Linked DNA regions of Cricetulus griseus. The protein of the gene in region 1 interacts with the protein of each later gene in a pairwise test. Links are inferred from orthologs where the notes say so. Each region holds a gene or a part of one and is shown in the gene's direction. Other genes may lie near its edges.

The links.
Region 2: the proteins of Bag6 (region 1) and Serpini2 interact in a two-hybrid assay, tested with the Homo sapiens proteins (2 studies listed by BioGRID and IntAct). The two-hybrid records come from large-scale screens. The link is inferred for Cricetulus griseus from reciprocal best matches to the Homo sapiens genes BAG6 and SERPINI2.
Region 3: the proteins of Bag6 (region 1) and Atxn2 interact in binary tests that used the Homo sapiens proteins (3 or more experiments, as listed by UniProt). The link is inferred for Cricetulus griseus from reciprocal best matches to the Homo sapiens genes BAG6 and ATXN2.
Region 4: the proteins of Bag6 (region 1) and Klhl12 interact in binary tests that used the Homo sapiens proteins (3 or more experiments, as listed by UniProt). The two-hybrid records come from large-scale screens. The link is inferred for Cricetulus griseus from reciprocal best matches to the Homo sapiens genes BAG6 and KLHL12.
Region 5: the proteins of Bag6 (region 1) and Rnf126 interact in binary tests that used the Homo sapiens proteins (3 or more experiments, as listed by UniProt). The link is inferred for Cricetulus griseus from reciprocal best matches to the Homo sapiens genes BAG6 and RNF126.
Region 6: the proteins of Bag6 (region 1) and Dnajb11 interact in a two-hybrid assay, tested with the Homo sapiens proteins (2 studies listed by BioGRID and IntAct). The link is inferred for Cricetulus griseus from reciprocal best matches to the Homo sapiens genes BAG6 and DNAJB11.
Region 7: the proteins of Bag6 (region 1) and Tac1 interact in a two-hybrid assay, tested with the Homo sapiens proteins (2 studies listed by BioGRID and IntAct). The link is inferred for Cricetulus griseus from reciprocal best matches to the Homo sapiens genes BAG6 and TAC1.

The regions. Positions count from the first base shown.
Region 1 is NW_023276806.1:231,657,330-231,661,489, forward strand, and holds the start of Bag6 (large proline-rich protein BAG6), read left to right. Parts: upstream 1-1,360; 5' UTR 1,361-1,384; intron 1,385-1,588; exon of another isoform or gene 1,589-1,847; intron 1,848-1,878; exon of another isoform or gene 1,879-2,069; intron 2,070-2,380; exon of another isoform or gene 2,381-2,522; intron 2,523-2,623; 5' UTR 2,624-2,636; coding exon 2,637-2,744; intron 2,745-4,160. UniProt on the Homo sapiens protein: ATP-independent molecular chaperone preventing the aggregation of misfolded and hydrophobic patches-containing proteins.
Region 2 is NW_023276806.1:78,476,149-78,479,648, forward strand, and holds part of Serpini2 (serpin I2), read left to right. Parts: intron 1-1,417; coding exon 1,418-1,612; intron 1,613-1,724; coding exon 1,725-1,917; intron 1,918-3,500.
Region 3 is NC_048597.1:101,568,783-101,572,796, forward strand, and holds the start of Atxn2 (ataxin-2), read left to right. Parts: upstream 1-1,214; 5' UTR 1,215-1,229; coding exon 1,230-1,855; intron 1,856-4,014. UniProt on the Homo sapiens protein: Involved in EGFR trafficking, acting as negative regulator of endocytic EGFR internalization at the plasma membrane.
Region 4 is NC_048598.1:54,763,753-54,767,252, reverse strand, and holds part of Klhl12 (kelch-like protein 12), read left to right. Parts: intron 1-3,019; coding exon 3,020-3,134; intron 3,135-3,500. UniProt on the Homo sapiens protein: Substrate-specific adapter of a BCR (BTB-CUL3-RBX1) E3 ubiquitin ligase complex that acts as a negative regulator of Wnt signaling pathway and ER-Golgi transport.
Region 5 is NC_048598.1:100,566,802-100,569,504, reverse strand, and holds the end of Rnf126 (E3 ubiquitin-protein ligase RNF126), read left to right. Parts: intron 1-339; coding exon 340-433; intron 434-514; coding exon 515-630; intron 631-1,517; coding exon 1,518-1,667; 3' UTR 1,668-2,203; downstream 2,204-2,703. UniProt on the Homo sapiens protein: E3 ubiquitin-protein ligase that mediates ubiquitination oF target proteins. Depending on the associated E2 ligase, mediates 'Lys-27'-, 'Lys-29'-, 'Lys-48'- and/or 'Lys-63'-linked polyubiquitination of substrates.
Region 6 is NC_048597.1:65,997,757-66,001,910, reverse strand, and holds the start of Dnajb11 (dnaJ homolog subfamily B member 11), read left to right. Parts: upstream 1-1,354; 5' UTR 1,355-1,537; coding exon 1,538-1,605; intron 1,606-4,154. UniProt on the Homo sapiens protein: As a co-chaperone for HSPA5 it is required for proper folding, trafficking or degradation of proteins.
Region 7 is NW_023276806.1:217,573,199-217,577,318, reverse strand, and holds the start of Tac1 (protachykinin-1), read left to right. Parts: upstream 1-1,320; coding exon 1,321-1,443; intron 1,444-2,409; coding exon 2,410-2,506; intron 2,507-2,987; coding exon 2,988-3,032; intron 3,033-3,527; coding exon 3,528-3,551; intron 3,552-4,120. UniProt on the Homo sapiens protein: Tachykinins are active peptides which excite neurons, evoke behavioral responses, are potent vasodilators and secretagogues, and contract (directly or indirectly) many smooth muscles.

The DNA.
Region 1 (4,160 bases):
GCTGGACTTCAATACTTTGATAGCTGATCTTGGTAGTCAGCCTCAGGGAGAGGTAGTGGCCAAAAAGGGTTTGCTTCCTGAATCCTCAGGCAAGCTTTAATAAGTCACAAATATATCCCTACAATGGTGACTATCTTCAGGAATGTAACCTAACAGTTTTGAGCAGGGGAGAGGGAGTAAGAGAAGGGTAAGGATCGCCAGATCCATGCTGGACACACTCACGCTGGCCAGAGTCCGACTGCCATTCAGGCCACCCTTGGTACTTACTATCTTGCTACAAAGCAATCACAAAAACGTGGGCGGTGATAGGCATGACCGTTCTATTGGAGTGATGCTCAGGCTTGTGTGTGGGAGCAAGGGATCAAACCCAAGGCCTTGGGCTTGCCGGGCAAGTGCCCTCCCACTCCAGCCCTTCCAATTTTATGAGGACACACTAAAAGGTGGGTTTAGGGTGCTTGATACCAAGCCAAGCCTGAGGACCTGGCTTTGATCCCCAGGTCCCCACAGTGGGAAGGGGACTCCGGTATGTTTCTCCACACTTAGGCTGCTGTGGTAGATGCAAGGCACATAGCCCGCCGCCCCCCCTTCCCCCTCCAAAAAAATGTTTTTAGGACAGAGGTGGGTGGATCCCTGAGTTCCGGGACAGCCAGATCTACATAGTGAGAACCGCGTTTCAGAAAAATAAATAAATGACGTCTGGCCGGGTGCCACAGGGCGACTTTAATGCCAGCCCCGGGCAGTGGCGTGGAGCTGTGGGGCTGTGGGGCGTGAGGAGTTCCAGGCACTTCAGGGGAACACGGTGAAAGCCTCAGCATTCAGGCTGGGACAAAGCAACCACTGCTCACTAAACAGTGCTCACTGCCGGCGGGGATGAGCGGGGAACCCCCAACCCCTTCTCTCGCCCTTTAACCCTGTGGCCCGGGCACGCGCGCTGGGGGTTTGCTTGGTCTTGTCTTTTCCAGAGCGCTAGCGCTTCCCGGCGTAGCCCAGGCCGGCCTCCGGGGGCCGGGGTCACAGGCGCGCGCCGGCCCCGCTTCCACCAGCGGCGAAACGCTCGGTGGTCTTGAACCATGGCGCTCCCTCGGGCGCCCTCGACCAACCAACGACCCTCAGCACACGCCACAGTCTGCGAGGCGCGCAGCCGCCCGGTCCGGCTCGGGTGCGAGCGCACACGGCCCACGGAACGTCCAACCGTCGGGCGGCGGGGGGCGGGGGGGAGCGGCTTCCGGGAGCGCAGGCAGTGCGGGAGGACCAGAGGCCCTGCCGGGGCTTAGGTGGCTAGGGCTGTGCCCGTGCGTTTCCTCTGCCCGCCCAACGCGGACGCAGGCGCACGGCGTGCAACAGCCCCACGAGTCCCCCACGGGCGTCCACAGCGTCTCTCCGGGTAGGGGCGGCATCCCGCTCAGCGAGGGTTTCCTTCAGGCGTTACGGCGGCCACCTCGGCCGTGCGGCGCTTGCGGGGCGCGCGCCGTGGGGGTGGGGGCGGGGGGCGGCGGAGAAACGCACGCAGCCCGAGGCGAGGCGGGGCGGGGCGGGGCGGGGGGCGGGGCTGCGGTGTGCGCACGCGCCGCGCGGCTCACGCAGGCGCAGTGCGGTCCCCCGGGCGACGGCGGCGGCGGCGGCGGCGGCTCCTCGGGGTGGTCGGCTCCCTCCCATCTAGGCCGGCCCCGGCCCGTCTCGGCCCCTGGGAACTCACTGTCTGGGGCTGCGGACTTCCTCGTCGTGCCCCGCAGAAGCAGATTGGGGGGAGCCTGGGGGAGCCGGAAGTACCGCCTCGAGAGCCCCAAATACGATCGGGGAAACGGAAGTGGCCTGTGGTGCCCGCTTGGGGGAGGCCGGAAGTGACGGTACGGCGGGGAGCCGGCGGGGGGGGCGGAGCCGCGGGGCGCTGCGCCGCGCCTCGCCGTGTGTGTGTGTGCGTGCGTGCGTGCGTGCGTGTGTGTGCGTGTGTCTGTGTGTCCGTGTGTCTGTATGTGAGGGGCCGCGTGTCGGGCCGCGCGCGCTGCTGCTGCAACGCCGGCGGAGGCGGAGGCGGAAGGACGGGCGGCCAGCGAGCCGGTCGGGCTCCCGTGAGTGTCCGCGTCCCCGGCGCCTGTGGTGCTTGAGGCGGGTTCGATCGCCGTGGCGCGCGTGCGCGGAGCCACTTTGTCCGCCGAGCGCGGCGCGGCGCGGCGCGACCCGACCCTCCCCCCGCCCCCCCCTCGCGTTGTCCTCGGCTCTCCCGCTCTCTCGGGCGCTTGCTGGGTCGCGACCGGTGATGACAACTGGTGTCCGGTCGGTCTCGTGCTTGCTTGCCCGGCTCGTAGCCCAACTGGCTCTCCCGACCGTGATTGGCACCGTGGAGCCCCTCCCACCGCTCGCCCTTCGCCTCCCGGTGCCGTCCCCCTCCTGCCCTTTGTGTTTCTCCTCCCGGGCCTCGGGGCCGAGGAGGGGGCGATGAGGGCGAGGACGAGTGGATGTGTTTGTGTATGAGAAACTTTGAGAGGGATCGGGGCGGAGGCCGGGCCCGGACGCTCTTCCGGGTGTGTAGAAGGCGGGGCGGGCGGGCGGACGGACTGACGGGCGAGCGGGCGAGCGAGCGGGCGGCGGCGAACCACCCCCTCCCTCCCTCGTCTCTCCGTAGAGAGCTGTCGGCCATGGAGCCGAGCGATAGTGCCAGGACCGCTATGGAGGAGCCCGACAGCCTGGAGGTCCTGGTGAAGACCCTGGACTCTCAGACTCGGACGTTCATTGTGGGGGCCCAGGTGAGGCGGGGGGAGAGGCGGCGGTGTGTGTGCCCGCTTCGCTCGTGTGCCTTCCGAGGGGCGAGCCTGCTTGTCTTGTCACCGACTCCTTTGTCCCTCCCTCGGTAGAACCTCTGATGTTCCTGTTGAGTGAGGAGGTGTGGTTACCGTTGAGTGAGGCAGGTTTTGTTCCGCCCGCCTTCACCTCGGTGGAGCTCGGTGGAGAGGGAAATGCCGCGGAGGAATCTGTACCTGGCCTGGGCGGACCTCTGCCCACAGGGACACGGATGATTCCGGCCTGGGGGACCGGAAGCAGCACCGGGGCCTCAGACAAGTGTGCTGTGTTTGCTCTGTCTTTGAACAACTTGTTCTCGGCCTTAACACTGTATTTATAGATCCCGGGAGCCTGCTTTTGTGCTCTGTTCAGGAGGATTGCCAATATCTTGAGGGGTGGTTTGAACCTCCCGAGCTTACAGGGTGCAGTGTGGGCACAGTTATCTTTGTCTTTACTGCATAAATCTTTTCGGGAACAAATCATGAACGGGTCACTTTCGTGGTTTTATAAAACATTGGGAACACCGGGTACACTTTCGTGAGTAGGTGTCTGATGGCCCTTACCAAGAGTTACTGTCTAATTTGGAAGATTCTTTTTGGGGGTGGTAGGGACAGCAATACCTCATAGAGCTCAGGCTGGCTTTGACCTTCTGACTTCCATCCTCTGTGCTAGGATTTTAGGTGTAGCATACCTGACTTGTTTTAGGTTGTTTTGTTTAGTTTTTCCCCAATAGGGTTTCTCTGTGTAGCCCTCTCTGTCCTGGAGCTTTATCTGTAGACCAGGCTGACTTCAAATTCAGAGATCCGCCTGCCTCTGCCTCCCGAGTGCTGGGGTTAAAGGCGTGCTCCACCATTGCCTGGCTGAGGTAGGGTTTTAAGTGTCTTAGAACTGATTGTCTTTTGGATTCGTCATCCTCCTGTCTCTGCTTCCCAAATTTGGGGGTCTCAGGTGTGTGCTACCACGTTGGTTTGTTTGGGTTCTTCATTTTCCCTCCTCCCCTTATTGGGGGGGGGATGTTCCTACTGGTGTTGAACCCTGGACCTAGCACAAAGTACCTACCCCTGAACTCTAGGAAACCTCCTGGGCTCCCTTCTTACTTCTTCATTAGTTATCTTCCCAGACCCTGGATCCCAACCCAGTATTACTTGCCATTGGTGGAAATGGTTGTTTGAGGGTGTATCAGGTGTGTCATCCCCCCAGGTTTCTCTGTGTACCTCTTGCTATCCTGGAACTCAATCTGTATAGCAGTCTGGCCTAGAATTCACAGAGTCTGCTAAGATTAAAGATGTTCACCACCACCTGGCTTCAAAAAAAATGTTTTTAAGACTTTATTCATTTTTGTTTTTGTTTTTGTTTTGTTTTGTTTTGTTTTTCGAGACAGG
Region 2 (3,500 bases), about 150 Mb from region 1:
TGTTATTTAAATTAACACTAGATTATACAACTCAGGGAAACACAGAACTGTTTTGAAAAGTATATTGATTAATGTATTAATTTCCAGACAGCCCCCTATTCTGAATGGGAAAATTTTAGCAATAATTTTTGTTCAAGCATTGATTTTTTTTTCATGTATGGAAACAGGAGGCCTATCTTTGTTCAGGAATATATTAGCTATGTCAATTCCAAATGTCACTTTCCCAAGTATACTGTAAATATCTTAGTTGATTGTGTTAATGTTTAAAAATAATGCTAACAATCTTATCATAGATATGCTAATCTAACCTTTAGAACTGATGTAGCAAAAATTACAAAGTCATTAAACAGAGGTTAAGGTCAGGAGGGAGGTGAGTTTAAAGTATAGAACATTGTGAGCTTGGCTTCTTTTTAAAATTAAGATACCACTGAAATATTTCAGTTATTAGAAACTTTAATAACAATGTATGTGTTGTAATAAACATGTGCTTTACCCATATAGTATTTTTCTTTGATTATGATTATACTGAAGAAATTTATGACTGGGTGAGTTGCTACTTGACTCTTCATGAGCAGATTGAAAGACAGAGTTATGCATTGAGATTGTGGTGAGGATCTGAATTTACAGGATTGTGAAATAAGTGCATAATATTGTTAGGAACAAGGAATTGCCTATGCACAGAGTAAGATGAGGAGAGATTGGTTGTTTTGAAGGTGAAAATCAGGGTAGTCACTGGTCTCTGGTTGCAGCCATGAGAGCAAGAAGCTTGGATGTACCACTGACTTACTGAGTCTGCTTGTCCTTATGGGCAACTTAGCTCTTAGGTCTGAATAAAACTGATAAACATTCAGGGAGGCATATTTCAATTCTCTTCTTGTCCAAGCAACAACTGTGGATATCATCTCATCAGAGAGTTCATTACCAGTATTAATATTCAGGCATTTGTACTGGCCTGTCCCTTGGGTTCTGACAGGACATGCCCTGAGCACATTCAGTTCCTTTATAAAAGGGCCCTGTCTACCTCCCATCTTGCTCTCTTTCTATCTCTGTCTCTCTGCTTCTCTCTCTCTGCTTCTCTCTCTCTCTCTCTCTTTCTTCTTTTCTGCCACCCCTCCACCCAAGCTCTGTCGCATGGCATCTTTCTCTCATGCACCACTTTTAAAAATTATAACTAGTTCTGTCTACTTTTTCCTAGAATACCCTTAATTCCTATTTCCCGGTGTTTCTACTTGCACATATTTCTTAGGGAAGTATTTAGCAGCATTTCCTTTGGCTCTTACAGTTGCTCAGGTTAGATGATACAATACACTGTCAAAAACAGTTCATTGAAAGACCTTTTTGGTTTAGTCTATTTTAGCCTGTTTCTTTGAATCACTACTTAATTTTTCTCCTTCTTTGTTCTCCATCCTCTTTATAGGAAAAATTAAAAATATGTTTTCAGAGGAAGAATTTGGTCCCCTGACTCGCCTGGTCCTGGTAAATGCCATTTATTTCAAGGGGGACTGGAAACAGAAGTTCAGAAAAGAAGACACAGAGATGACAGATTTTCATAAGAAAGATGGCTTAACAGTCAAGGTTCCAATGATGAAAGCTCTGTTGAGAACAAACTATGGTAACATGAGAAGCTATATATATATATATATATTATATATATATATAATATATATATTAAACAGTGGAGCTGATAACTAAAAAATATATTTAATGAACTTTAATTGTTTCAGGTTATTTTTCCGAGTCACTCATGAGGTTCCAGGTTTTGGAATTGCCTTACAAGGCTGATGAATTTAGTATAGTCATCATCCTTCCCACAGAAGATGTGAATCTAGAAGAAGTGGAAAAGCGAGTTACTGCGCATCACATCCAGAGATGGTTCTCTGAGCTCCACGAGGAGGAAGTGGAGGTCAGCCTCCCTCGGTGGGTCATGTTCTGTGCTACTGATCTCTGGATTGTAAATGGAATCCTGTGGCCAGTTAAGATAAGATAACTTTCCACTGAAATTCCAAGGGATTGCCATAGGAAGCAATGTTTATACACACTAATAGGCTTTTGGGAGACAAAAGAACCTTCAGAGTAAATAATGCCCAGAATAACAGTTTATATTCTATCCCGTGTGACAAACTTCTCTTCCTATATTTTGACGTAGCATTTTATTAACAGAGAATTTCATAGTCCTATACTATGGTTTGCACTATTTGCTGCTCACTCTTTCCCCTCACTCCTCAATATCTAATTCCTACTCCGTAACCCCATTGAAGAAGTTCTCCCCTCAGTATTTCCCCTCACTTCTTACAGATCTGGTCTCTACTCCTATGAACTAAAATCAGAAATTCAAAGTTCTGAAATACATCTTCCCCAAATTAACCATTTTTTACTTGAATAATGTGTTTTATATATGAACAGTGGATGAAAATTACATAGGCTCAGTAAATATTGTCATGTTGATAGGTTTCAGCCACCTCTGCCCCTGCTCCAAAGAGTATCTATGTGTAGCCCATGTTCATTCTGCAGTCACTATGTAGCCCAGGCTGGAACCAATCTCATGATCCCACTGACTCTGTTGTGTTGACTCTGCAGCTTTGTGACACTACCTTCAGTGATGGTTTTAAAATGTATCATTCAGTACTGTATTTCTTTTTATCTGAATGAGCACATAATGGTCTTTAAACTGGTAAGTGAAGATCTGGTAAATTGGAACAATTCAAGCAGTGTCATCAGTTTTCCAGAGCTACTGTAAAAAAGGAACAAGAACAAGTTAGTTGATTTCAATGAAAAAAATAATTATCTCTGAATTATGGCCTAAAACTGCAAACTCAAGTTGTTATTAGAACCACACTGACCTTAAGACTGTGTTTCAAATCTGCCCTTGCTCTTTCTAGCTTCTGGTAGAGCCCAGCAATCCTTAGAGTTAGCAACATAAATAAGGCTCAGAACAAAACCAGCTATACTATACTCTGCATTGTTGCAAAAATGCCTCTTTTTATTTCTTTTTTAAAATTAGAAACAATCTTATTTTACATGTCAATCCCAGTACCCTCTCCCTCCCATCCTCCCATGCTCCCCACTGACCTCTGCGCCCCTATCCCTATATCCCTCTTCTTCTCCCCAGGGAGGCTGAGGCCTTCCATGGGGGATCATCAAAGTCTGTCACATCATTTGGGGTAGGGCCTAGGTTCTTCCCCACGTGTCTAGGCTGACAGAGTGTCCCTCTATGGGGAATGGGCTCCCAAAGTCAATTTGTACTCTGGGGATAAATACTGTTCCACCAGAGGCCCCATAGACTGTCCAGGCCTCCTTGCTGACACCCACATTCAGGGGGCTTGGTTTGGTCCTATGCTGGTTCCTCAGCTGTCAGTACACGAGCCCCCATGTGTTCAAGTCAGCTGTTTGTGTGGGTTTCCCCAGCTTCGTGTTGACCCCTTTGCTCATCACTCCTCCCTCTCTACAATTGGATTCCAGGAGTTTGGTTCAGTGCTTAGCTGTGGGACTTTACTTCGGCT
Region 3 (4,014 bases), on another chromosome or scaffold:
GATAATTTTACCTGCTGAGCCATCTGCCTGGCTACCAGCCCAATTTTTGTAGTTACTTTTTAATGTATGTAAAACAAGCTAGTCTACAGTTGAGCGATCCACTTGCCTTGAGTGTTGGGATTAAAGGAATGTACCATAACCAGGGGTTACTATTTATTTAGTTGCCCCCTTTTAAGCCTGGGTGGCTTGTAGCTTAGCCTCTCCTAGAATTCCCTTATGTAGGTGAAGATGACCTTGAACTTCTAATCCTGCCTCCACTTCCCAAGTGCTCATATTACAGGAACGAACACCATGCCTGACTTTAATTCATGTGAATGATTTTAGTAGAAGGGGGGGAATTTTGCTGTTCTCCAGCCCATCATTTCCAACTAAAAGAGAAAAACAAACAAAAAACCTAAACTCGTTGTCAGAAAGTTACCTACTTGCTACCGATTTAATAACACGTTAAAAAACGGACTACAGTGTTTGGCGGCCTCCCCAAGTTAAAGTAAAACTTCTAAAGGGGTCAAGGTCTGAAGTTCACATTTTTGTGAGGCCTGTTTTTGCCTTCACTGAGGGAGACCCCATTATCCATGGCAAGACCCCATTATCCAGTTCTACCAATCGCGTCCATTTCCTCTGAGTCTCCCCAAGGAGGAATAAGAAGTTCTGGTGAGGGAAAACGGGTTCAAATGAAGGTCAGATGCCCAACACTTCGCTGGGGTGGATAAACTGGGGCAAAGTGAAGCAGCTGGCAGTGGCTTCAGTGGTGGCAAGCTTCCCATGCTGGCAGGGAAACCCGGCGGGCAGTGGCACCTGGGGGCCTACTGTGTACCAGGCCCGGGGTTTAAGGAGGAAACTGCCGGGAGCCTGCGGGCCATCCTCTATATCGTATCTAGTGGAGGAAACCAAGGTCCTCCAAGAGGGCTTAGGACACTAGAGCAGCTCCGGGCGCCCATCCGCGACAGGCCCCGCGGGCGAACACCAGCACTCCCGCCCCGAAGTGCAGACTCTCCTCGGCGAGGGCGGATCCCCGGCGGCCCTCACCCGACCCCCGAGGCGAATACAGCCCAGCTATGGGCCTGCTCCTCACGTGTCCGGATCGGCCCCCAAGCCGACTCACGTTCCACTTCCGCCTGACCCTTCCGACTTCCGGTAAAGAGTCCCCCCCCCCTCACCCCCATCTCCGTTCCGCATCTCCGCGCCCTCCCGTCCGCGTCGCCCCGTGCGCGCCCGCGATCCGGGTTCTCATGCGCCCGTCGACCGCCGCCGCTCAGAGGCCCGCGGCGGGCCCGGAGTCGCGCCGCCTGTCGGGCTGGGCCGCGCGGCGCTCGCTCCCGCGGACTGCGCGGCGCGGCGGGCGGCGGCGCGGCGCCGTATCCCCGCCGGCCCTCCCCCGCGCGCCCCGGCGCCCTCCCCGCGGGCCGCGCTCGCCGCCCTGCGCCTCAGACTGTTTTGGTAGCAACGGCAACGGCGCTTCCCGGCCCGGCTCCCGGCGACTGTTCGGTGTCTGCGGGCCTCCCCGCCCCTTCGTCGTCGTCCTGCTGCCCCTGGCTCCCGCGACCGCGTCAGCCCGCGTCTGCCCGCTTGGCGTCCGCGCGTCCCCGCCGCGCTCCGGCGTCTCCTCAGCGCGCCCGGCTCCCGGCTGTCCCCGCCCGGCGTGCGAGCCGGTGTATGGGCCGCTCACCATGTCGCTGAAGCCGCAGCCGCAGCCGCCCGCGCCCGCCAGTGGCCGCAAACCCGGCGGCGGCCTCCTCTCGTCGCCCGGCGCCGCGCCGCCTGGCCGCGCCGGCCTCGTCTTCCGCGGTGCCGGCCCGGTCGCGCCGGTGGCGTCTTCCTCGGCGTCCACGGGCGGCGGGCGCCCCGGCCTGGGCAGGTGGGTGTCGGCTCCCCAGCCCCCTCCGCGCCCGCTGGGCCGATCCCGCGCTGCTCGTCCCCTCCCCCGCCTCGCCCCGTGACCGGCCCGCATCGCGGTGGGCTGGGGGCCCGCGGAGGGGCGGGAGGCCCCGGAGGATTCTAAGGGTTTCTCGGGCCGTGTCCAGCCTCCCGCACCATCTCGTCCCCTCCCCCAGACGGCCAAGATGGACGGCCGGGGCTGCCCCCTGCCCCTCGCGTGTGTGCGAGGGGCGGTGGGGGTCCCCGCCCCACCCCCTTGCCGCGTCCCCTACCAGCGATGGAAGGGCGGTTGGGCCTGGGTGCAGCAGGTCGCAGGGGTCCCTCTCCTGAAACGAGCCTCTTGGCCGGGAGGAGGAGGAGGAGAAGTTGAGGCCCAGCCGCCCCAGGTAGGGTCGGCCGGTTGTCCTGTGTATCTCCCGCCCCGCAGGCCCTGGGAAGGTGGTCATCCGAGGCGAGGTGGGTGGCTAGCGGCCTCCCGGCACCCATCCCCCTTTAGATCTGGGGCGGCGGGGTTCCCGCAGTGGGCTGCCCTCCCCCAGCTGGGGAAGGGGTGGGAGTGCCCGGCTCCCTTCGGGCCGGCCTCCCTCCTTCCCCGCAAGGTCCCCTGCGCGCGGGTGGTGGCCGATCCGCATTGCTGTTCCTCGTATGGCGAGCAGAAGGCGCCTTTGAATAGAGGTGGGCGAGGGCCGGACTCAAGAGAGGTGGGTTGGCGGCGGGCATCGGACACGCAGCGCATTTTCCGCCCGCAGCCCCTGTCCCAGTTCCTGAAATTTCTAGGGATGAGGAACCGCCACAGAGGAGTTGGTGCGGGTCCTGATGGCAACAACGCGGATGTTGGCTTGCGTCCTTGCGCCCCTCTCCTTTCCTCTCCTCTCCCCTGGGCCCAGTTTTGTTGGTAGGAGCTGGAGGCCTGGTGCTGTCCTGTGTGACTGGGCTTGACTCTGGAGGGTGTGTGCGCGCGGGGGTGGGGAGGGGTGGGGGTGGTTGTCAGTTCGTATTTCACGAACTAAGAAAATGCTTAGTGTTAAAACGGGGAGGCAAATGCCAATAGACTCCATTCCATTGTGGCCAGTGTCCTTAACTTGGGAAGAGCCGCCAGAGCTTACCAAGGGCATGCAAGTCCATTTCCCCTGTGCTCCGAGTCCGTCGTGTTACAGGCACTTCTGTGCTTCCCTCTCGCTTTTAGGCCTGGCTGGCAGAGCCTTGACCAGCCTCCTTAAATAGACATCCAGGACTTAGGTGGGCTAGGGGATTTTTCATGGGCCGAGTTTTCTTTTTAGCCGCATTTCCCAGCCATCCATTTCCAGAGAGTGTTCCTTTACAGCAGAAGTTAACCCGTGGGGTGAATCAGAGCAGGTTTTTAAGGGATTCTGCTGGGAACAGTCTGCTTTTTACTGTATTCCCCCATATTCCTAATTTTCCCTAGCGTGAGACATTTCAAACCCTGCTTAGCCTGCCTAGTTCAAATTAACACCCCCCCCCCCAGCTGGGTGAAGTTAGGGTTCTATAACTTCAGTTTCATTTTTTTTTTTGTCCTTGACTTTTAGTGAAAACCGAAAAATATTTAAATTTAACTTTAAGGATGTGTCTTGTTTAATTTGCTTTTCCATGATTTTTCTCTAGTTATCAGAAAGTGGCAGGTGTATTTATCTTGTTCAGATACAAATTAAAACTTAAGTTTCTAATCTTCACTATCTCTTTAGGTGTAAAGATTAGATTATGGTGGAATTGCTCTCCAGGAACGTGAGCATCCCACATGAGCAAGGCCTGAGTACTGGTAGTCCCTTTCTGGTCTTGAGCCTCCTCAAAAACTAAAGGCAGTTAGCATTTTCCTTGCTTTAAGCTCTTAAAGCATACATTTTAACATTTACTCTTTTGACAGTTTTTTATCCAATACCGGACTCAGAATATGTCATTTTTTTGTACAGAGCCTTGATTGATGTTAACACTGGTAGAATTGCTGTAAGTTCCTAGTCTTCTCTGGTTTCTTTGTAAATCCATTACAACTTCTAGGATTTTGCTTGGGTTTGTGTCACTTAAAATAAGACTGGCAACATGGTTGAGGAAAGGAGATGTAGTATTGGAGACTGGTCAGATGGTTCACTGGATAAAGGTGCTTGCTGCAAGGCCTGTCAACTA
Region 4 (3,500 bases), on another chromosome or scaffold:
TAAATAAATCCTAAAAAAAAAGAATCAAAAATCTAAACTTTTATAAATGAAAAAGAATTAGTCAGCTCTATTGTAAAATCTTAGAGTGTATCCATCCCCACTCATCAACAGACTTATATATCAGGAAGCTAAGGGCAGAAATGGATACAAGGAATTAATCATCACCCTTGATCACCAACCCATCATACAAGAAAAGTACGTCAGCCAGCAATAGCCAGGCTGCCTGCCATTGTTCTTGTTTCTTGACCTCAATGAGTCCCTCACTCAGCTACTCAAAGTGTGCCTTTCTAAACTTTTAAGTTGTTTTCCAAGATTTTTTAACCCAAAGCCATTAACAAAATCGTCTTAATCTAACCTTAAGTCATTATTTAAGGCTTTGTTTTAGCTATGATGCACACTGAAACCTGTGAGCACATCTCCCAACATTAAGATTAAAAGAACTTGAGCTAGATAGGCTTCTGGGATTCATTGTTTCTCTTAATCATTAACCTAAGCCACAGTCTGCATGGCTCCTCAAGAGACATCAGCTGTGTGACATATCCTTGTTCTATTTTTCTATCCGTTGCAGCCCTTGTTTTATCAGGGTCGGGGTGGGGCGCTGAAGAGGAAATCATCTTAATAATCCATAGGAAGCAGGGCAGTCAGTGGTGGCTCACGCCTTTAATCCCAGCACTCGGGAGGCAGGAGGATCTCTGTGAGGTCAAGGCCAAGCCTGGTCTACAGAGTGAGTGCCAAGATAGGCTCCAAAGCTACACAGATAAACTGAAAGAAGTATTTTTTGCTAGGTCTGTTGTGGTGAAGGCCTATAATCTCAACTGTTGGTAGAGGGAGGCAGTAGGATCAATAGTTCAAGGCCAGCCTAGACTAAATGAGACCCTATCTTAAACAAATAATCAAAAAATAAGGACCTCCCCTAAATTAAAAAAAAAAAAATTCAGGCTAGTTAGTGTCACATCTTCAATTCATTTTCTGCTATTTGTGGTTTCTTTTTTAAAACATCTATTGGTTAGTCTTCCTCTTGCTGTGACAGAGTACCTGACCAAGCAACTTAAGGAATAAGGGAAGGTGCAGTGAGTCCCATTGTAAGTCAGAGCTCACCCTGAAGAAGGCAGCAGGGAGAGCATGAAGCAGTGGGTCACATGCACCACAGTCAGGGAGTAGAGAAAGGGATGCTGGCACTCAGCTGAACTTCTCCCAGCCCATGAGACAGTGTGGCCCACATCAAGGGCAGGTCCTACCTCTTCAGTTCAACCTCGGTGGGAACACCCTCATGGACACACCCATTTGAGTGTTTCCTAAACCAGTCAGGTTGATGGTAAGGTAACCTTTACACGTTCCTGTCTAGGTCTTTACATTGTGATTTGGTACATAGATTCTGGAACCAGAATCAGGAGGCTGCGGTCCTAAATCAAGTGTTCTGTGTGGCCTTCAGGGAGATGATCAAAGGTTTTTCTCTCTGTGAAGCAGAACTGACTTCACCCCCTCATACATTGTTGCCAGTATTCATATGCAAAAACTTTTAGAGTCATGTCTTGTGTGACAGTATTCATTGCTATTATTTATTTTCTCTTCCAATGCATTACCAAAAATATGTTGGAGTTAAGCTAATAAACAAGAACTTCTATGAGTTAGCGACCCTAACTGGAAACATGGTGTGCTCCAGATGGTACGGTTCTGAGGAAGATGTATTGTATAAAGGAGCTGTCTAAAAGGTATAAATTTGGAGAAATAGTAGAAGACAGTGGAAGACGATAGATCCAGAACAGCTAAGCTGCTAACAGCTCTCAGTCTGAACAGCCTGGCTGGAGAAGTGGTTTTCAGAACCTGAAGGGATAGAGTAGGTAGAATCACTGCTTTAAGAGGAGCCTTGACCTTCAGTGGGACTCATCCCAGCTAGAACCCAGTGTGGAGATGTTACTGACAGTTTGTATGGATGCCAGAGAGCAAACAGAGAATCTGTGGAAGCAGATGCTAATAAGAGTTCTCTTTTCTATGTGAGTATATGTGTATGTACATGGGGGCCAGAGGTCACTCTTGGGTGCTGGTCCTCAGGCCATCTGCCTTGTTTTTTAAGATATGATCTCTTATTGGTTGACCTGGAGTTTATGATTGGGCTGGCAACAAGCCCAGAGATCTGCCTGTCTTTCTGCTAGTGTAGGGTAGGTAACATGTCTGGCTTTTTATGTGGGTTCTGGTGATGGAACTCATGCCATTATGCTTTCATGGTGAGCAATTTACCAAAGTGAGCCATCCTTCCCATTCATATAGAGAGAGCACTGTTGGATATAGATGTAGGAGCTGGTCTAATAATGAATGCATGCCTGTAATCACAGCACTCAGGAGGGGAAGGCAGGAGCAGCGGGTATTTAAGTTTCCTAGGCTGTGTTGTAAGTTTGAGACCACTCTGACCTACAGGGACACTGTCAGAAAGAAAGGGTGAAGAAGGGGAAGGGTGGGGAAGAAGAAGGCAGGGAAGGAGAGAGACCCTTAGGGGAATTATTTCAGAGAAGACATATTTATCTAAAAGAGAAAGCATGTCTTTTTGAGACAGTGTCTCACTCTTACCTAGATCAGGCTGACTTAGAACTTAGTATGCCACTCTAAATTGGCCTTGAAATCTCAGAAATCCTTTTGTCTTAGCCTGCTAAGAGCTGGGATTACAGATGTGAGCCAACCATGCTCAGCTTCCCTTAAAATTCTTACTAACTGGGCTGGAGAGATGGCTCGGAGTTAGGAGCACTGGCTGCTCTTCCAGAGGTCCTGAGTTCAATTCCCAGCACCCACATGGTAGTTTTAGCCATCTGTAATGAGATTTGGTGCCCTCTTCCGTCATTCAGATGTACATGCAGGCAGAACACGGTGTATATAATTTAAAAAAAAAAAAAAAAAACTTCAAAAAAAATTCTTACTAATCCTTCCGTACTTGTCTACATCAGAAAATACTTCTTTATATGTGTCATTTTGTTTTTACAATATTAGAAGTAGCCTGTGTAGTTCACTCCTGTCTTTTGTATTTTAGCCTTTCATCCGCTGTAGTTTACAGTGCAGAGATCTAGTTGATGAAGCAAAGAAATTTCACCTGAGGCCTGAACTTCGAAGTCAAATGCAAGGACCTAGGACAAGAGCCCGTCTAGGTAAGCTGGTGCTCCTGGCGGAATGAAGGGACACTTTTTCAACTAACTCTTTTCAGGTGGTTTGATATAGTTGGAAATAACATCTGTAATGAATACAATGGACTTGTTTCAGATCATCTTTTAAACTTTTTAGATAAGTCGCTGCCATTGTAAGCTTTTATTTCCTAAAATCTGAGAGTATCGTTATGTCACATACCGTTGGAGATTAGAGAGAAAAATTTTTATAAATTATCATATATTATGTAGCATTAAATTTTTGCTTCACATTTAAACAAAGGGCTTAGAGCTGGGGTTGTAGCTCAGTTGGTAGAATGCTTTCCTTAGCCCTGGGTTCGACCCCAGCACAATATAAACTGGATGTGGTGG
Region 5 (2,703 bases), on another chromosome or scaffold:
ACAACTAGCTACTCAGCATCTATGGGGGGCCAGGAGGCCAGCCTAGTAAGGCAGATGGGATGCAGGCTCTGCAGCACCGGAGGCCCCTGCATCCTGCCCTCAGGCATCAGACAGCTCAGTGGTTGGTCCCTTCTTTCCTTCCTCTTGAAGGTTATCTGTTGGCCTGGGAAGGACAGTGGCCTGTCCAGAGCTGTACGCCTCAGATGGCCCAGAGGTTTAATAGGTTGGGTGTATCTTGCTGGTTGCAACCTTGCAGAGCTGGGCAGGTGGAGACTCCCCAACCCCTGCCGCCCCATTGAGAGCCATGTCCCCCTCAGGTCACTGCTCCTTGTCTTTCAGCTCCTGAATCAGTTTGAGAACACGGGCCCCCCACCTGCAGACAAGGAGAAGATTCAGGCCCTCCCTACGGTCCCCGTCACAGAGGAGCACGTGGGTATGCTCACGGGGTGGTGGACAGAGTCCCCAGGGACCTCCCTTCTGTGGCATGACTCTCAGTGGCCTGCTTCCTCTGCAGGCTCAGGGCTGGAGTGCCCCGTGTGCAAAGACGACTACGCGCTGGGTGAGAGTGTGCGGCAGTTGCCCTGTAACCACCTGTTCCATGACAGCTGCATTGTGCCCTGGCTAGAGCAGGTGACTCTGCCCTGCCCACCAACCTAGACCCAGCTCTGACCTTAACCCTAATCTGCTTGCCTGCCAATCAGAAACCTTGTGCTCATCCTGACCACAACCCTAACACTAGTCATGACTTACCTGACTGTCCCTTCCTTCCCTGAACTCCAAGCCTGCCTTTGTCATGCCTGTCTCCAGCTGTGACCCCGACTCTTACTTGTGCCCTGAGGCTGACCTCTCGCTAGCCCTGGCTTCACTCTACCCCAACCCAGATCCAGAAAAATTCCTGGGTCAGACTATGTGTTAGCATTGGCATCGGCATTGACTCTGACTTTGCTGCTGTGCCCGTCTGCCACCTAACCTGGACCCCAGACTCTAATTCTAACCCTGATCATGGCTCTGACCGCAACCCTGATGTTAACCTAGGCCCTGGGGACTGGAGAGATGGCTGGGATCACTGGCTGCTCCTCCGGGGGTCCTGAGTTCAATTCCCAGCAATTACATGATGGCTCACAACCATCTGTTATGAGATCTAGTGCCCTCTTTTGGCCTGCAGGCAGACATGCAGGCAGAGCACTGTATATATAATAAATAAATCTTTTAAAAAAACTAGGGACTCTTTGCTTCCTGATTGAGGAAGCCATGAGAAACTGCGTTAAAATAAATCTTCCTTCCTTAAAAAAGAAAAAAAACTGGCGTTGGTGGCGCACGCCTTTAATCCCAGCACTTGGGAGGCAGAAGCAGGCAGATCTCTGTGAGTTCGAGACCATCCTGGCCTACAAGAACTAGTTCCAGGGCAGCCTCCAAAAGCCACAGAGAAACCCCATCTTGAAAAACCAAAAAAAGCAAAAAACACTAGGCCCTGACCCACCCCTCCCTCTCTCTAACTCTTCCTCTGTTCTCTCAAGCATGACAGCTGCCCTGTCTGCCGCAAGAGCCTCACTGGACAGAACACGGCCACCAATCCCCCAGGCCTAACTGGGGTGGCCTTCTCCTCATCCTCATCCTCATCCTCGTCCAGCTCGCCCAGCAACGAGAATGCCACAAGCAACTCCTGAGTCCCACCTGGCCACCCATCCACCCACCCCCGGGGCTCGGTCATCCCACTCGCCCCAGGTGCCCTAGCACCGCCATGGCCGTGGACTAGAGGTGCTGCCCCATGGTGGCCAGCAGCACCTGGCGGGCCCCAGGCTGCGACAGGCTCGGACTTGGCCATGGCCGCTCCTGTTTGGAGGCAAGCACCTGGGCCCCATGTCCCCAGCAGGCGCCTCCAGTCCGTCTTTAACCTCACCCTCCAAATGTTCAACGGCAGAAGGGTTTTTATGATTTTAAATTATTACTGCTTTGAAATAAATGGACGTTTGAGCCACGTGCGGCCATGCATGATCTGTGGAGGCAGCAGAACTGTCGCCAGACCCAGCCCGCCACATGCCCTGGGAGGCCGGCCCAGCACCCAGCCAGTGCCGGCCTCGGGACCACGAGGGTGACCAGCAGACCCAGGAACAAACTGCTCCAGCAGACTTTTTTTTTTTTTTTTAAGGGAAATGTGTGTTATCTGGAAAGCTATTTAAAATACACCTACTCAAAAAGCAGAGCCCATGGCTTGGCGTCTTCCTTCAGCCAGGGTGTTCATGACTCACGTGGGGGCAGCTCACAGGGTGGGTTTGTGCTTTGGGTGAAAGCCTGAGGAGACCCAGGCCTTGGCAGTGTTGAGCAGGAGGGGATTTCAACTGTCTTCAGGGCACTTGGGTGGGAAGCCATCCAGTACAGGCCCTGCATGTGGTGGCCTTGAGGTGGGGCCTGTGACCAGGGGCCCTGCAGTCTCATCCACATACTGCTTGCCTGCCTTTGCTGGGAGTGATGGACTCACAGCATCTATAAGGGCTCACCCAAAGCCACGCCAGCACTGTCCTGGGTAAGCAGGTCCCCAGCCCTCCTCTCCTAAGCGTCCATGAGGGAGACTCGGAGCAGTCAGCTTTCAGCAACAGTGTGACCTGCCTACTCTGTTCTCATGTTTAGGACCTGAAGAGCCTCAAGAACCATGTTTACTTCAGCCCTGGCACTGCTGGTGTGTCAGCCGATTGGCCTTTGGTT
Region 6 (4,154 bases), on another chromosome or scaffold:
AAGCTGATTATTCTGGAACATTTTAAGAGGTGAGGATACTGATTGTTAAACTAGACAGCTTTGTAAGTTACAATAGAGTTGACATTTTACTTTTAGTACATTGAAAAGCCATTAGAGGCTTTTAAGCAGGAGAGTGACATGATCTGAAATACTTTTTAAAAATCACGAGGACGCTGGGGAGATAGTTCAGTCCATAAAGCTTGCCACTTACTTGCTGTATAAACAGGAGACCTTGAATTCCACGCATAGCAGCAACTGCGGCAACAACCGCCTGAAACCCCAGAGCTGGGGAGACAGAGACAGGACCTTGGTCTTCCAAGTCCACCTGCCTAGTCTAATCTGTGGTCTCCAGGTCCCTAGTGCGCTCACGCATGCACACGATCATGGGGTGGAGAGTAGGAGTACATTAAAATAATGGATCGATATATAAAGTTTGGAGGGAGAAGATCGTTAAGAGACCTTTGCAAGCAAGAGATAATTGTGACTTGGGCCAGAGATGGAGCTGTACTGGACATAATCAAGATACCGTTCATTGGTAAAGATCTAGATAGCTCATGTAGGAAGCAAAGCTAAGAGGAGAGGCTTTGCTAAACAACTAGCTTTCTGTAGTTAACAAAACTGGAGAAAAGAACCAACGAACAAGCTCTGCTCCGAACTATAATAACGGCTTTTATTGATTGCATGCTTACTATGTGCAACTCTACTGGAAAACTTACAGAAAACATGTCAATTAAAAATTCCCAACACTACCAGTGAACGCCGCCACGCCTTAAGTTTTGTCGAAAACGGGTTCGGAAGCGGGGTGGGGGTGGGGATGTCTCACCGCTGCGAAGTGCTGGAAGCCGAATCTGAACTTAAGTCGGTCTCCGCGGCGGCTTCTCTATAAGGTACCGGGCCTCTTTTCTACGAAATCGAGACTATATGTACTAAATTTGTACTGTGAGATCGCATCCTTAGGTAAGGCGCCCCAAGTACTCTGACACCGAGTGATCGCCCACCCTCCTGGGGTTGCACCTCAGGGATCCCGCGCGTCCCGGGCGCACGCGACGTAGTTTCCAGACTGGAAAACCGAGTTAAGACCTCTTGCGAGCAATTGGTCAGAGCTGGGAAGGAGTCTCCCGATTGGTGGACCACTCGGGTTTCCTCGCAGCGCGCTCCCCTCCGCCTGAGATTTTCTCCTATTCGCAGGCACTTCCGGGCGGCGCGAACCTCTGACGTTTCCTCTTCCCATTGGCCGGCAGCAGCGGCGGCAGTTCCGTTGTCTGACTGGCTGTCCGAGCCGCCTCGGAGGTGAAGTGTACCGCGCTGATTGGCTGCGGAGTGGCGGCCGCGTGTGATGTCCCCGGCGGCGATTGGCCCATGCCTGGCTGCTCGCCGGCTCTGGGGCTCCCGGAAAGTGGCAGCTGAGGAGGGGGCGCGCTAGCTGTCTCGGCGGCCCGGCAAGAGACCCGGGCGTGAGGCGGCCTCTCAGGGCCGGAAGGGCTGGTCAGCAGACGCAGCGGCACGGGAGGCTGAGAGTGCGGGACCAGGCGACACCATGGCCCCGCAGAACCTAAGCACCTTCTGCCTGTTGCTGCTGTACCTCATCGGGGCTGTGATGGCCGGGTGAGGAAGGGGCTCCGCGCGGCACGGGGCCCGAGGGGCGGCCTTTGCTGAGAAGGACGCGGGTGGCATCGAGGAGGGGGCAGTGAGGGAGCGGCACTGCCGAGCCGAGGGACGGAGGGGCAGTGAGGGCCGGGCTGGCCCTGCGGAGCCAGAGTGCCCACAAGAGCAGGAGTTGGTTGCAGTGCCAAATGCTACGTTTGTGCATTGGAAGGAGTTAAGTGGCTGTGAGCGGTAGTAGAGTCACGGAACTCCGAGGAAGGGAGTGAGTGCCAAGCTGGGGTTGAAGTTATGGACACGTCTTTGCTGAACTGGAGGGTGGGACGGTGGGTTACCTAGCTTGCAACAAGCCTCCGAGGACCTGACACTAAAGTGGGTGGGCCATGATGCTCTTAAGTCAGATGCAGGTAAGGAAGCCAAGCTCACGCGGGAGTAAACTGGCTTGAGGAAGCAACAAGACCTTTAGAGAACCTACTTTCCACCTTCTTGGGCTAGCGAGCCTGAACTGTCATCTTGCCTCACTGTCTCTCTCCATGGTTCCTTGAGCTGGATGGTATAAGTAGGAAAAGCACTTCACGAACGGGTGAGAAAACTGGGATTCTAGCCTTTTGCCACTCTTATGAATCATACAAGTTTGAAGGAACTTTACCGAAGTTCTGAAACCAGGGGAGCATTGTGCCTCCCTTCAGGGAGAAAGAGCAGACTTTGAGAATCTATCTCCCAGCATTTAAAATGCACGACCTTATAGTTCCCATGACTAAGGATATGGTACATCAGACTTGTGTTCTTGAGGGCTGGAACCCTTCACCCCAGCTTTTGGCAGATGAAAACAGGTGGATCAGAATTCAAGGTCATCTTCAGCTCCAGAGGGAGTTTCAGGCTTGCCAAGCCTACATCATCCCCTATCTCAAATAAATAAGTAACCACAAAAATAAAAACACACCAAAAACTAGTGGGTGTCAGAGTCTGACAGTCTGTAGGTTGCTGCATTACCTCAAATAGCTTTTAAAGTTGTTTCCTTATGTTTTTTACTCTTTGCATGTATGCTTAAATTTTGTCATTTTTTTTCCTTGTGAAATATTTTAAATTTCTAAAAGTTCACATTTCTTACATATTCTTTATTGTTTCCCCTTAGTTTGATTAAGCTCATGAGTACCCAAAGCATTTAACAAAACGTCAACATAAAATTTTGGAGTTGGAAGTTGAGGTATTCTGGTCTCCAGCTCAATATGTAGCTGAGGGCAATCTTGAACTCCTTCATGCTCCTTCAGCCACCACTTCCCACATGCTAGGATTGCAGACATGGGTGACCATTCCTGGCAAATACTAATAGCTTTTAATACTTTAGCTTTAAACTTCAGTCACTCATAAAGTAGCCTCTGGGGAGCATAATGTTGACGGCCATTTTTTTCTGAGCTGTCATTTAGCCTTTTCCCCCCTTTAAAAAGTCTTTTACTTACTCTCTGTCAGTTTCATACACATACAGTGTAATCATACCTACCCAAAATCCCGCAGATACACACGCGAGCGCGAGCACACACACACACACACACACACACACACACACACCAACATGCCCCTTCCCACATCCAGTAACTCACTGAGTCCAGTTAGTTGATGTAGCTGCTGGAGTGGTGACTAATGGTATTGGCTTGCTCTTTTCAAAGGTCTTGTTCAGGTAGCCATAACTTGAGTATATTCGTGAGTGCCATATCCAGAAGACAGAATTTGACAGCACTCCTCCCCTTCCCATGCTTTTACATCCTTTCTGCCCCATCTCCCACAATGTTCCTGAACTTTGGAGACTTGGGGAGAGGCGGGGGAAGGTTGGAATAGATATTCTGTTTAAGATTGAACACTCAGCAGTTACCTGTTCTCCACACTTTGACCAGTTATGTTGATACATTTACTGCCACCGTAAAAAGAAGTCTCTATGACCAAGGCTGAGAGTGTGTGAATCTATAGATATAACCTAAATATTTACATGATATAGTATTAATTATAGATACAACCTAAAAATCACATGTCTGCTTAGCAAAACAACAGTAATAGGTCTCCCTGTCCCCCATGGCCTATGACCTCGCCAGCCACGGGTTTTCAGCTTTACAGTACCAGATAGGAATTCCCTTCTGTGGAGCAGGCCTCAAGTCCAGTCAGAAAGCAGTGGGTTAACCTCATAATCTTCACATCACTATTGTACCAGATGTGGGACTATCTTGCTTTTTTGGTCAATATTAGTAATTTTCCTCCTCACACAACCTACGTAACCTTCTGACACTGTGAAAGCTGGCCAGAAGGCGGGAATTTTGTATGTCAACTCAGTTTGATTTCTCTGTGTCCGGTAACCAAAATGTGTGTCATCAGCAATGGGGCTTCCGTTATGATGGGCAATGGTGAAGCTTCTTGTCTGGGGGCCTCCCTGACTTATAACTCTCATAGGGAGTTTTCCCACACCTGGCACTGAGATTTTCACTTCATAATCTATGTCTTCTAAGGGAAACATCCACTCATACAGGGTACCTATGTTCAGAATCCCCGGTCTCTCTGTGTTT
Region 7 (4,120 bases), about 14 Mb from region 1:
CAGTGAGAATAAGAAGGGGAGAGGCGTGATTATCCTCTTCAGATCCTGTCTGGATGTGAAGAGAGAGAAGCTTTGGGGGAAGAAAAGCTGTCCTGGAATGGCTAATGAGTACATTCTACATGCGACACCAGCTTTAAATTTCTCTTTTCTCCAAACATAAAGCAAATGTGCTTTTATCCTCTGAAATGCCAGAGAAATGGGGGAGTATTTGGCTGATTAGGGAGAGAGGACTGTTCCAGCCTTTTATGTACCCCCTCACCAACCTTTAAGACACATGAAAGTAGAAATAGAAGGGGAAAAAACGCTTCCTGCAGCCCACTAAAGTCCTTGCTCCTGTCTCAGCGTGATCTCTGACAAGGTTTTAATGCTGAAGTGATTTGGCCGTTCTCAAAAGCGCAACTTTTCCTGAGGTCTCTTGAGAGAAAAGTTCCCCAAGTCCGAGGCATGAATCACTCTGCTCAATTTTGATGAGTAATCTCAGGTGTCACTGAACCTTGTTCGGAAGAAGAGGGGAGGGGGCGTCAGATTTGCAGACGGAAGAAAACAGGCCTCTCTGGATTGGGTGGCGAGACCTCGACTTCCCTAAAATTGCGTCATTTCGAACCCAATTGGGTCCAGATGTTACGGACACCGACGGGTTACCGACTCGGAAACTCTCCATCACGCAAGCAAAAGGCGAGGGGGCGGCTAATCAAATATTGAGCAGAAAGTCGCGTGGGGAGAGTGTCACGTGGCACTCCAGGCTCGTCACGCCTGTGATAAATACCGCGAAGCAGGAGCAGGGACTAGAGCGCACAACGTCGGACCTGCTCCACTCCTGCACCGCGACCGAGGAGAGCGAGGAGCGCCCAGCGAGTGCGCACCTGCCGAGCATCCCCAGCCAGTGCGGGGCTGACCGCAGTGAGTACCACTCCCGCCTTCCAGCTGTGGCTGCCTGTTGCGGGTCCTGCCTGGCTCGGAGGTGGCGTCCAGCCTGGCTTTGCTCCCGCTGCAGCCACAGACCCGGGGGATTGTGCAAATGCCATGTCTCTCATTGTCTCCCACCTGCAGCGTTTCCAGGCTTGAGGGCGTGGGTCGGTGGGCTGAGGGTCTGGGACGCTGAGACTCAGGAAGAGGAGGATTGAGGCTCCAAGGAGCGTTATTCTCCCTCCTAAGGGGTATGGAGGAATGGTAACTCTGATTTTTCTTATCTTGGTTTAGCGGAACCTGTTTTCCCTTTCTTGTGGCACTGAAATTCTGCTGCTCTAACTCTTGGGTGGTCACCGCCTACGTGTGTGTAATGTCTCCTCTCCGCTCTCCTACTCTCCCCAGAAATCCAACATGAAAATCCTCGTGGCCGTTGCGGTCATTTTTCTCGTTTCCACTCAACTGTTTGCAGAGGAAATCGGTGCCAACGATGATCTAAACTATTGGTCCGACTGGTCCGACAGTGACCAGATCAAGGTGAGACCCAACCGGGCGTGGGAGCTGTTCCCTTCCCCTTGTGGTTAGCACCCTGATTAGCCCAGCCGGAGAGACGCAGTAGGATGTAATGGGCGACACACACACACACACACACACACACACACACACACACACACACACACACACACACACACACACACACACTCACACACACACACACCCTCACCCCGATCCCCGCACAAGGCTGTGCGCCCAGAACTTAGTTTCCTCCCTGCGGGAGGGCTGCGTTCTGGGTTCAGTGTCTCCCCAGCGGAATGGATGCTCTCTAAAGAGCTGGGTCCTCAACTGGCTGGAAGGGTCGCAAGGTTTTAGTCCCAAGTTATGGGATCTTAGAGGCTTTGGTCCAGCGGTGCTGCCAGAGAATTTGGAGATGCTGAGCAGAGAAGTGAACCAGTCGATGGGGCAAAAGCCGGATCTTAAGGAGCTGCGGGGGTCTGGGGGGCGGAAGCGAACTCCACACTCCTGTATTTGATGTTCCAAGTCTCCCTCTACATGGTTCTCAGCTATTCGTGCAAAGGAGCGCGCCTTGGGAAACAGAGAAAGTTGTGCGGTGGTGCAGGGTCGCTTGTAAAGTATTGACACACTTCTGCATCCACCCCTACTGTGTGCACTTAGGACTCGGGGGAGGGAGGTCTCTGAAGCCGCGCTGACAACAGACAAAGGTGGTAGTGAGACCTTGAGTGAGTCTTCTGATGGGATAAAGAGCAGAAAATGCACAGGACCAGAAGGGGTTGTGAGGCTGGGCAGGGACACCCAGGGTACACTTTGGGGAGAAGGAAGTCCCAGGCGGGGTCAAGTCGGGGAGAGTGCTGCATAGATTCTTGTGTGGCCTGGACTCGTGTGATCACAGGATCACAGGGGATCTGTAGCTCCCGGAGAAGCTGGGGCGCATGATGGAACTGGCCTGGGTTCACTCACGTTGTCTGCACGCGGGTTTGTCCCCAGGAGGCGCTGCCAGAGCCCTTTGAGCATCTTCTGCAGAGAATCGCCCGGAGACCCAAGCCTCAGCAGTTCTTTGGATTAATGGGCAAACGGGATGCTGGTGAGATGAGCAATAGTCACTAGGTCTATCAGGCTACCTGATCTGCATGCTTGCTCCTTCCTGGAGCACCCAAGAGTCTCTTGCTCTAAGAGTAAAAATTTACACACCCAAAGACTTGTGATTTCCCGGAAGACTCTGATCGGCACTTCATTAGCATATGCACTAGTCCACGGGCTGATGGGGGGGGGGGTGGGAAGGAGGGGGCAAGATCCATTTCTCATCCTTCTCAGCACCAAAGTGACCCAAACTGGGAACTAACATTAGCGAAACACTTCCCTGACTAAGGGTCCAAATTTCAAGGGCCTCCAGGTAGGCTTGGTCCAGTCTTGGGGTGAAAGAAGCTATATATAGTGTTTCTGGGATTTGGGGTAGATTTGGCTACCCCTTGCTTCAGTGAGAGAAACACTCATTCCATTGCCTTGAGTTGATGACGCAGTGAGTGGAGCTTGTGAAGAGTTAATGCCAATTCATCTCTTGTCAGATTCCTCAATTGAAAAACAAGTGGCCCTGTTAAAGGCTCTTTATGGTAAACATCCCTATAAATCTCTATTTTACTATTATGAGTGGTCATGTAAGAAAGGATTTTAAGGGTACAAACAGAAGGTCTTGCAATTATTCCTAATTAAGAGGGTGTGTGTGTGTGTGTGTGTGTGTGTGTGTGTGTGTGTGTGTGTGTGTCCAGGTGTGTGTTGAGCTCCTGCTCCTGTGGAGCCAGTGGGTGACCAATCTTGAGGTCGGTACATTATATACCCTTGCTATTATTAACAGAGCTCAAGTCCCCGGTTCTGCCTTTTAACCCATGGCCCACTGAGGTTATTCAATACACATTCCTTTGGTTGTTAAAGTATTTGGCTTTCATTAATAAATTGGTTAATGTTCATCTACTTGATTCCTCAAGATGGTACATAAATAGGAAGTCTTACATATTTTGAAAATAAGTCTTTAAGTTCTCTGTAAAAGATTTGAAGTAGCTTTTCAAAAGAAATCTGCGTGTCTACCAACTGCTTTTCTTTTCTTCTAGGGCATGGCCAGATCTCTCACAAAAGTAAGTTCACTATTATTTTGACATTTATCAAATGCTACTGGTAGTGGCATTGAATTCTGCTTCGTGCCACCCTTTGAGGCATAACATGGGGCCCAATAATTTTAATTAAGATGATTGTAGGACAACAAAAGTCATATCTGGAATGCAATTTGATGAATAAACACTGTGACTAAACTATTGTGTAGGCATACTGCAGTGCAAAGCATATAATACTTTTAGAAAGGGAAAAGAATTAAGACCTGTAGATTTTTACTTATAGGATTTCAACTGTAGGGCTAAACATCCATCACGAGCTTCCGTCTCGACCTCCCACCCATGAGCACTACAGAAAAGAGCACTTACATACATCTTCCAACTCATGTTCATGAACTGCATCTTGGAATGGTAAGGAGGCTGGTTATTCAGCTGCTAATTAAATGGAGTGGGAGACCATCTGAGCAGAAAATCCACTTCAAATGTGAAAACGGATATGGATGTGGTGCTGTTTTCCCCCTTGGTCCCATAATTGAATGGGAAGCCTGACATAGGACAGCAAAGATGCAGAACTGTGGTACTAGAATGTATTTATA